2 linked regions of the Macaca fascicularis genome follow. The protein of the gene in region 2 interacts with the protein of the main gene of each other region in a pairwise test. Links are inferred from orthologs where the notes say so. Each region holds a gene or a part of one and is shown on either strand. Other genes may lie near its edges.

What was found.
Region 1: the proteins of GSK3B (region 2) and BCL2L12 interact in a two-hybrid assay, tested with the Homo sapiens proteins (2 studies listed by BioGRID and IntAct). The link is inferred for Macaca fascicularis from reciprocal best matches to the Homo sapiens genes GSK3B and BCL2L12.

Annotation. Positions count from the first base shown.
Region 1 is NC_088393.1:57,638,335-57,642,730, reverse strand, and holds the start of BCL2L12 (bcl-2-like protein 12), read right to left. Parts: upstream 3,079-4,396; 5' UTR 3,015-3,078; intron 2,918-3,014; 5' UTR 2,798-2,917; intron 2,406-2,797; 5' UTR 2,398-2,405; coding exon 2,291-2,397; intron 2,081-2,290; coding exon 1,938-2,080; intron 817-1,937; coding exon 730-816; intron 648-729; coding exon 556-647; intron 1-555. Other genes in the region: IRF3 (interferon regulatory factor 3), read left to right, coding at 4,251-4,396.
Region 2 is NC_088376.1:163,313,569-163,317,379, forward strand, and holds part of GSK3B (glycogen synthase kinase-3 beta), read left to right. Parts: intron 1-775; coding exon 776-962; intron 963-3,811. UniProt on the Homo sapiens protein: Constitutively active protein kinase that acts as a negative regulator in the hormonal control of glucose homeostasis, Wnt signaling and regulation of transcription factors and microtubules, by phosphorylating and inactivating glycogen synthase (GYS1 or GYS2), EIF2B, CTNNB1/beta-catenin, APC, AXIN1, DPYSL2/CRMP2, JUN, NFATC1/NFATC, MAPT/TAU and MACF1.

The sequences.
Region 1 (4,396 bases), on a different chromosome or scaffold from region 2:
AGCTATTGGGAGCTACTTGGGAGGCTGAGGCAGGAGAATCGCTTGAACCCAGGAGGCGCAGGTTGCGGTGAGCTGAGATTGTGTCATTGCACTCCAGCCTGGGCAACAAGAACAAAACTCTGTATCAAAAAAAAAAAAAAAAAGTCTCTCTTCGTCACCCATGCTGGGGTGCAGTGGTGCAATCTTGGCTCACTGCAACCTCCGCCTCCTGGGCTCAAGCGATTCTCCCACCTCAGCCTTCCAAGTAGCTGGGATTACAGGCATGTGCCACCGCACCTGGCTAATTTTTGTATTTTTAGTAGAGATGGGGTTTCACTGTGTTGGCCAGGCTGGTCTCGATCTCCTGACCTCAAGTCATCCGCCCACCTAGGCCTCCCAAAGTGGTGGGATTACAGGCATGAGCCACCACGCCCAGCCTCAACCCTTCATTGAAACCTTGTCCCAGCCTCTTTCCACCTGACCATCCAAAGAAAATACAGATCCAGCTTCTGATCCCAGTGCCCCACCATTCCGCAACTCTTGTCCTTGCCAAGGGGTGGGACAGACGCCCATCACCTTCTGGTTAATGACTTCTGCCTCCTCCTCCAGCAGGGCCACCAGCCTCCGCAGTATGGCTTCCTTCTCTGTGGGTGGGGGACCCTGTAATTCTGGAGGCAGAAGAGAATTTGGCTGGGGGCAGAACCCTATCCTCCTACTCCCATCCTTTTCTGGGGCTCCTCCGTGCCTCACCTGGGCTAGGTGGAGATTTCAGTTGCTCTTGGACCAGCTGTTCCAGCCGCTGAGCCACCAAGGCATAGAAGTCTGGAGTAGCTGGGCCTGGGGTGAAAAGAGTTAATGACAGGTTTCCAGGACATTGGAAACTTATGGATTCTCTCCTTCCCCCAACTACCGTGGCAGGTGGCAATGATTCCCATTTTATAATGGGGTAAGCTGAGTCCCAGTGAGAAAACTTGGTAAAAAATGCCAAAACCTTTGTACTTTTCATTTTATCAGATCCTCAAACTGCACTTAGAATGTCAGAGCTGGCCGGGTGCGGTGGCTCATGTCTGTAATCCCAGCACTTTGGAGGCCGAAACGGGAGGGTCACTTGAGGCCAGGAGTTTGAGGCCAGCCTGGCCAACATAGAGAAACCCCGTGTCTACTAAAAGTACAAAAATTAGCTGGTATGCTGGAGTGCATCTGCAAGCCCAGCCACTCGGAAGGCTGAGGCACGATAATCACTTGAACCCAGGAGGTGGGGATTGCAATGAGTCGAGATTGCAACCCTGCACTCCAGCCTGGGTGACAGAGCTCTGTCTCCAAAAGACTGTCAGAGCTGAACTAGACCTCGAAGATGATCTCATCCAAGGAAGGCAAACACAAGACACTACTGTTAGTATCCCCCTTCCCTCACCCACTTCAGACATCACCAATTGATCAAAGCACTTCCTCTCCCCAGCTGTGAACTCCTTTTCAAGCTAGCACTCGCAGCAGCCATTACTAGTCTGTCCAGGTTCACACCTACGGGGAAACTTGTGGGTCACCTTGATCAAGTCCAGTGACCTCCTCCCCAATTCCTACTCTGCTATTGGAAAAACAGGGGAGCAAGGAAGAGAAAGCATTTTCCCCAGAGTCACGCAACTAAAACAGCCAGGGAGATGTAATTGAAAACCAGCCCTCCTACCCCTCTATCAGCGGTATTCCTGGCTACAAAAGTCCTAGGGGCAGGGAAGTAGTTATGGAAGGAAAGAGACAACAACCAGATGGACCAAATGCTCTCTGAAAGCCAACCCACAGCATTGACAGATAGAAATCTAACTGGGGAGAGGAGACGACAGGACGGTTCCATCCTGAAGGCTGATGCTAGAGACTCCACACAGCCACCCCCTGAGTGATCTTAAACTAGCACCTTATCCCGTGTTCTGCCAGTTTCATAGACGATCATGGAAATCTCTTACCAGGCTCTGAACCATAGCAGGGGCGGATGGGCAGAGAGCAAGGCCGAGGGGACTCCGGGGGTGCTGCTCCTTGCCCCAGGGAGCAGGGAAGACATCTTCGAAGGCGGCTCAGGAAGTCTGTTGGCTCTTCTTGGGCAGGGCTTCTGGGGAAGAGGACTTCAGAGAGTGACCCCACCAAAGATCCCCTGCAAGCAGGCTCTTTCCCCAACTCCCTCCCTCCCCCGCTGAGGACCTCTCTCCAAAACAGAGAATAGAGCCAGATATAAAGAGAGGAGACAGACTGAGACCAGGAGCAAGAGTTAGGAGGGAGCCTCAAATGCTGGCCCCTGGGGGAGAAGGGCAACTCCTCTTACCTGAGTGGAGTTGGAACAGGAGACCCGGCAGCCTCACCACGCCTAAGGAAGGCAGCTAGGACCCTCAGCGTGTCTTCCCGGAGCCCCAGCTCTTCAGAGCCTGCCATGGAGGCACCTGTGAGAGAGGGGACTAGGGACTGGACTCCAAGGGGTTAGCAAGAAGTGGAGGCTTGGTTGGGGACCAGGACTTGTGAGTCCCAAGGAAGGCCTGGACTCCTGGGTCATTTGGAAAGTGTCGGTCTAGGGGCCTAGACTCTTGAGTCCTCAGACGAAAGAGGGGTCAGGAAAGACTCTTTGATCCAAGGAAAGGTGGGGGGGCTGGGTGCCCAGATTCGTGGGTCTAAAGGAGGAGGGAGATGGGGTCTAGACTCCTGAGTCTTAGAGAGAAAGGAACTGGAGCCCCAGACCCTTAGGTCTCCCAGGAAGAAGGGGCTTAGCGCCCCAACTCCTGGATTCTATAAGAGGCATATGCCAAACTACTGAAACCCTTAAAGCATCGGGAACTACCAATCCCAGGAGGCTTCAGGGCAAATCTTCCCCTCGGTCCGCGCTTCTTCGCCGCGCAGCCTGCTGTGAGGTGTAGTTCCAAATCCCCGACTCCTGCTGGAATCTAGAGGACCCTGGACCCTTGGATGTCGGAGAAGCGGGACTGGGGTGCCCACTACTGGATCCTGGCCCGCTCCTCTTCCCTCCTTACCCCACCCCTCGTCAACACCCCGCTGACCTGGTCCGGGGCCTCACCGCCGCCTCCTCCACTCAACCTGCCGCCGCCTCCACTCAACTTGTACAAACTTTATTAGTTCAACTTTCCCGCGCCTGCGCACTGGGCCGGGTCGGTAACTGGCCCAACGAAGAAAGGGCGGAACGCTGGATGCACGCTCAATTTGCATGTGACGCTCCCAGCATGCCTCTGGCCGGAAACCCAAAAAAGGGCATAGGGGCGGGGACAGCCCCGGGCCCCGCGGGCCGTCCGTTCGGCTCCGGGGTGTGTTACCCAAAGAATGATAAAGTTGGTTTTATTTCAAGAAGTCGATCGAAAAGAAAGCCTCAGCGTCTAGAGTTCAGCTGACGGGAAAGGGGGTGCGCAGCCCCGACTTTGAGAGCTATCCGGAGCCCCAAAACAGGGGTGGGCGCCAGCTCCCTGCACGCCCTGAGCTTCTATCGTAGGTAACGCGGAAGAGCCTGGGAGAGCGTTAGTGGCGTCCGAGAGCGAGGAGCGGGAAACAGGATGGGTCTGCACGGAGAGTGGAAAGGCAGGCTGTGTACTCTGGGGAAAGTGGAGCAAGGAAGGAGCTACAGTGGCCGACGCTGGAGGTCGGCTGGAGAAAAACTAGAAAAAGTAGGGAGGAAAGAGGAAAACAGGAGGCGTCTACACTGAGGGGTTCTACAGAGGGAAGGATGGACTCCGTACATGGGTGTAGTTCACTCCCGAAACCTGAGGCGTGCTCTGTCCTGGAGGAGGGGGGCTGGCAGTCGAGGAGGAATTGGATGGAAGTTCTGTGTTGGAAATGTTTCGGGGGATCTTCTGTAGGGGGACTGGGGAAGGGGATCTACACTGGGGTAAATGCAGGAGATAGAGGCTTACACGTGAATCGATTCTGCACTGAAATAACTAGGGAAAGAGGATGCTACCCTGAAAGTGGGGATACTTGCTTTCGATGATGTCGGGGAGAGAGGAGGTCTATACTGGCGGAATTGAGAGAGTGGAGGGTCTGCACTGAAGACACTGGGGAAGGGTATGCCATGGATATGGGAAGGAACCCTAGCGGATTAAGGAGCCTCTCGGGAAGATGGGAGGATGGGAAGAGGAGGTTTCCTGTTTGTACCCCCGAAAATATGGGTGAAGGACCTGTGCCGTGGCCCGTGAGAGGGAGGGTTCTGGGTGCGGAAACTCCAGGCCAGGTGGGTCCGGGGGAGGCCGGTCGCGCCCAGAAAATGCCCTATACGCGCAGGCCGGACCATGGGAACCCCAAAGCCACGGATCCTGCCCTGGCTGGTGTCGCAGCTGGACCTGGGGCAACTGGAGGGCGTGGCCTGGGTGAACGAGAGCCGCACGCGCTTCCGCATCCCTTGGAAGCACGGCCTACGGCAGGATGCACAGGAGGA
Region 2 (3,811 bases):
TTTAAGACACAAATTAGTAGAAAGCTATCTATTCCTTTAAGTAGATCAATTTAATTGAATTTTTCTTCAATATTGCCTTCAGCTCACTTTTTCTGTGTCTTAATCATTCTTAATGGTTAATACATTTTTTTTCTCCTTGATTAAAACCCTGGAATATTCATTCAAGTGGGGGAAATCTGGCCATATTCATGGTAACACCTACTTGAGAAAAAAAAAATAGGACATTTAATCAAATTCAAGGTATTCAAGAATTTCTTCAAATAATGGTAGGTTCTGTTTATTGGAAATAATACCAAATCAGTAGCATTTATAGACCTAGAGTAAATAGCTCTTCTTTCTTTTCTTTTTGATTGCCAAATTTTTGAACAGTACTGCCCATCATTAACAATTGTTCTGCTAAAAAACAATGCAAAAGAGGCAATCTTTTATTTACTGCCATAGCAGTGAAAACTTTAAAATTTAAGAAATAATTTTCTAGTTGTACTTGCCTCCAGAACTCAGCCTTTCCCGTGTGCCTATCATATTTTGTATGCATGTCTGATTGTTGTTACTTTATGATTAGCATATATAGATTTTTCTCCGAGCATTTCTCATATAATCTTTAATTAGCAATTCACCCCTGTGAATCATATGCATTTAACTTTTTCCATTCTAGAAGGTCCTTTCCCAAATGCAACCATGTTTCTGTGCATGGTGGTAATTAAGTCATTGCTCACAGGGTATTTACTTAGTTTCTTAAAACATTAATTATTCTTTCCCTTTTTTTGTACTGCAGGTCTTCCGACCCCGAACTCCACCAGAGGCAATTGCACTGTGTAGCCGTCTGCTGGAGTATACGCCAACTGCCCGACTAACACCACTGGAAGCTTGTGCACATTCATTTTTTGATGAATTACGGGACCCAAATGTCAAACTACCAAATGGGCGAGACACACCTGCACTCTTCAACTTCACCACTCAAGGTAAATCCAAACACTTTGCTCTTCACCAGTTCTAGGAAAGCTACACACTGGGTGTGAAATGACATTCTATTAATTAAAATCTGTGGGAGACAAAAATGGACATATTAAGTACTTAGGTAGGCGAAAAGAGCATCCTTTCTAACTTAATGGTCACTACTTATATGATTTTGAAGAAAAGAGTAGCACATAAAAGTTTTCCAATAGGCATAGCTTCTTTAATTTTTAGCAGAATATAATGTTGGCACAGGAGAAGTTACAGAGAGTTCAGTGAGTGAAGTTTATCACTAATTGGACTAATGTACAATTTAACCTTTAGGTTTGGATCTGAAACTTAAAATAGTAGCATTTCTTGCTTCCCTAGAGTTTGTATCAAGTTTTTTTAAACCTGGAATGAATTGGCTATATTTGTATAAATTCAGTTGTCTTCCAAACAGGAGGAAAACTGGAGCCCTATAAACCCTTTCTAAGAACTTAAACAAACAATAGAGACAAGGAAATTTCCATCCCCTCTGAGATTTGGCACCATCGCTGCTGCAGAGAAAATACTGAAAGGAAAACTAACTTTGTGCATTGTGGTTTCTGGAAGACCTTGGGATAGTCACTATTTCTTCACTATTTCTGTGTTCAGTTTTCTTTTCTCCTTGATTAAGACCTAAGTGATTCATTCATTCAGTCACACTACCTCTGATGATGTGACTTTCTTCTTACACTGAGCATAAAAAATGTACAATTCATTACCAAAAAAAACACAGTTGATGTATTGATTAGTAAGCATACTCAGGCTAGAAAACAGAAAAGGGAGATGTTGAGCTTTCTGTGAAAGAAAGAAATCTATTTCCTTTATTCATATATATCATATCTTTCTTTTTAAAAAAAAAAAAGAAGACTCTTTTATTTTGGTATTTTAAAATATGTTTGCCCAGCACATTAGATATAAATATGATGTGGGTCTTGAACATTTATGTTTTTGAGGGTTTGGAGAATGCATTTATATTTGGATGTAATGTGTATAGATAGAGTGTGTGGTCTCTGTGGTTATCAGAGTGTTTATGTGATTCTGAGTATCAGTGAAAAACTGGACCCTGTAAACACAGTCATGTATTCCTTAGTGATGCAGATATGTTCTGAGAAATGTGTCATTCAGCAATTTTCGTCCTTGGGCAGACGTCACAGAGTGTGCTTATGCCTACTTATTATTGAAAGTGCTGTCATTTTGAGATATGGCCCCTTTTTAAAAAGTGTTAAAATGCTCTGTCTTAGCACCCATTCTGAAACTGAGCTGTAATCACAAAGTAGTACTTTCTCACGGTCTTTGTAAATCACTATTGTTACTGTTTTTGAACAGTGTTTCTATGTAAGATGTCCAGGGAAGAGAGGTTTTTTTTGTTGTTGTTGTTGTTATTGTTTTTGTTTTTTGGTTTTTTTTGTTTGTTTTGTTTTGAGACGGAGTCTCACTCTGTCACTCAGGCTGGAGTGCAGTGGCATGATCTTGCCTCACTGCAACCTCCACCTCCCAGATTCAAACAATTCTTGTGCCTCAGCCTCCTTAGTAGCTGGGATTACAGGCACCTGCCACCATGCCTGGCTAATTTTTGTATTTTCAGTAGAGACGGGGTTTCACCATGTTGGCCAGACTGGTTTTAAACTCCTGACCTCAGGTGATCTGCCTGCCTTGGCCTCCCAGAGTGCTAGGATTACAGGTGTGAGCCACCATGCCTAGCCTTGATGCCATTGTATTTGATATGATACTCTGTATTCTAATTTTGGAGCAGTGTTTCCAAATGGTGATCTTGTTTTCTGAGGCAGCTGTAACTGTGTACAGATGCAACTTTAAAGCACATGCTAGTTAGTAGTAATTAATGGATGACCAGAATAAAACTGGGTAATCCAAGGGGTTGAAGAAGGAGAATCAATCTTCCAGTTGGTTGTATAGCTAAAGGAAATCTAGAGATAGAAACATTGTGGGGGGTCTGGTTGAAGGGTGAGGGATATTAGTGAGGTTCTTCTAAAGGCAGCATAAAGCCCTCCTCCATCCTCATAACAAATTGTCAGTGACATCTGCAGCACTGCTTCCCCCAAATAAAATAAAGATCTACATATAGTAGGTGCTCAATGAATGTATGAGTGCCATGTACCACTTTAAATAAACATAATATTCATTAATTCATACAACCAGTATTTTTGGGGCATTTCTAATGTTCCCTCTGGTTGTCATTACTATTGTTTTAATTTCTAAAGTAAACCTGCTATATATACGGAACTATAAAGATTAAACACTTGAGTAAAATATAGTGTTTTATTAAGGTAAAGCTTACAATAAAGCTAACTGCAATTTGATGTTTGTTACTGTACCATGGAGTAATTAGCCATAAACAGTAATTAGCATTACTTTCATATAATCACAATATTTCCATATTCAGATAGACGAAGGAGAGAGATGAACAGATATGAGATGGACAACTTTGAGATCTTTCTGATTGCCTAAATCCATAACTCAGGAGAACATCAGACCTCTCTCATTTTTCCAGCACTGAAGCTTCAGTGTTCCAGGACCCCATGACTGACAATATTATCTGCTCTCAGATGTTGGAAATTGGAATAAACCTTTGGCACACCCCCTTCTTTCCATTTCTTCCTGTCATTAGAATTTCAAATTCAGCCATAGCTGAATCAGACCTTAGGAAGCAGATAGAATCAGGAAAGCCCAGTAAGGATCAGTATTTTCTTATTAACTAATTTGTTGCCTATTCCAAGGCTGGAATATATTAGGAAATCAATTGTTTTGTATGTTTAAAGGTGAGTCTTCCCCAAACTCTATCACACACATCCCCAATCTCAGTTTTTTACCT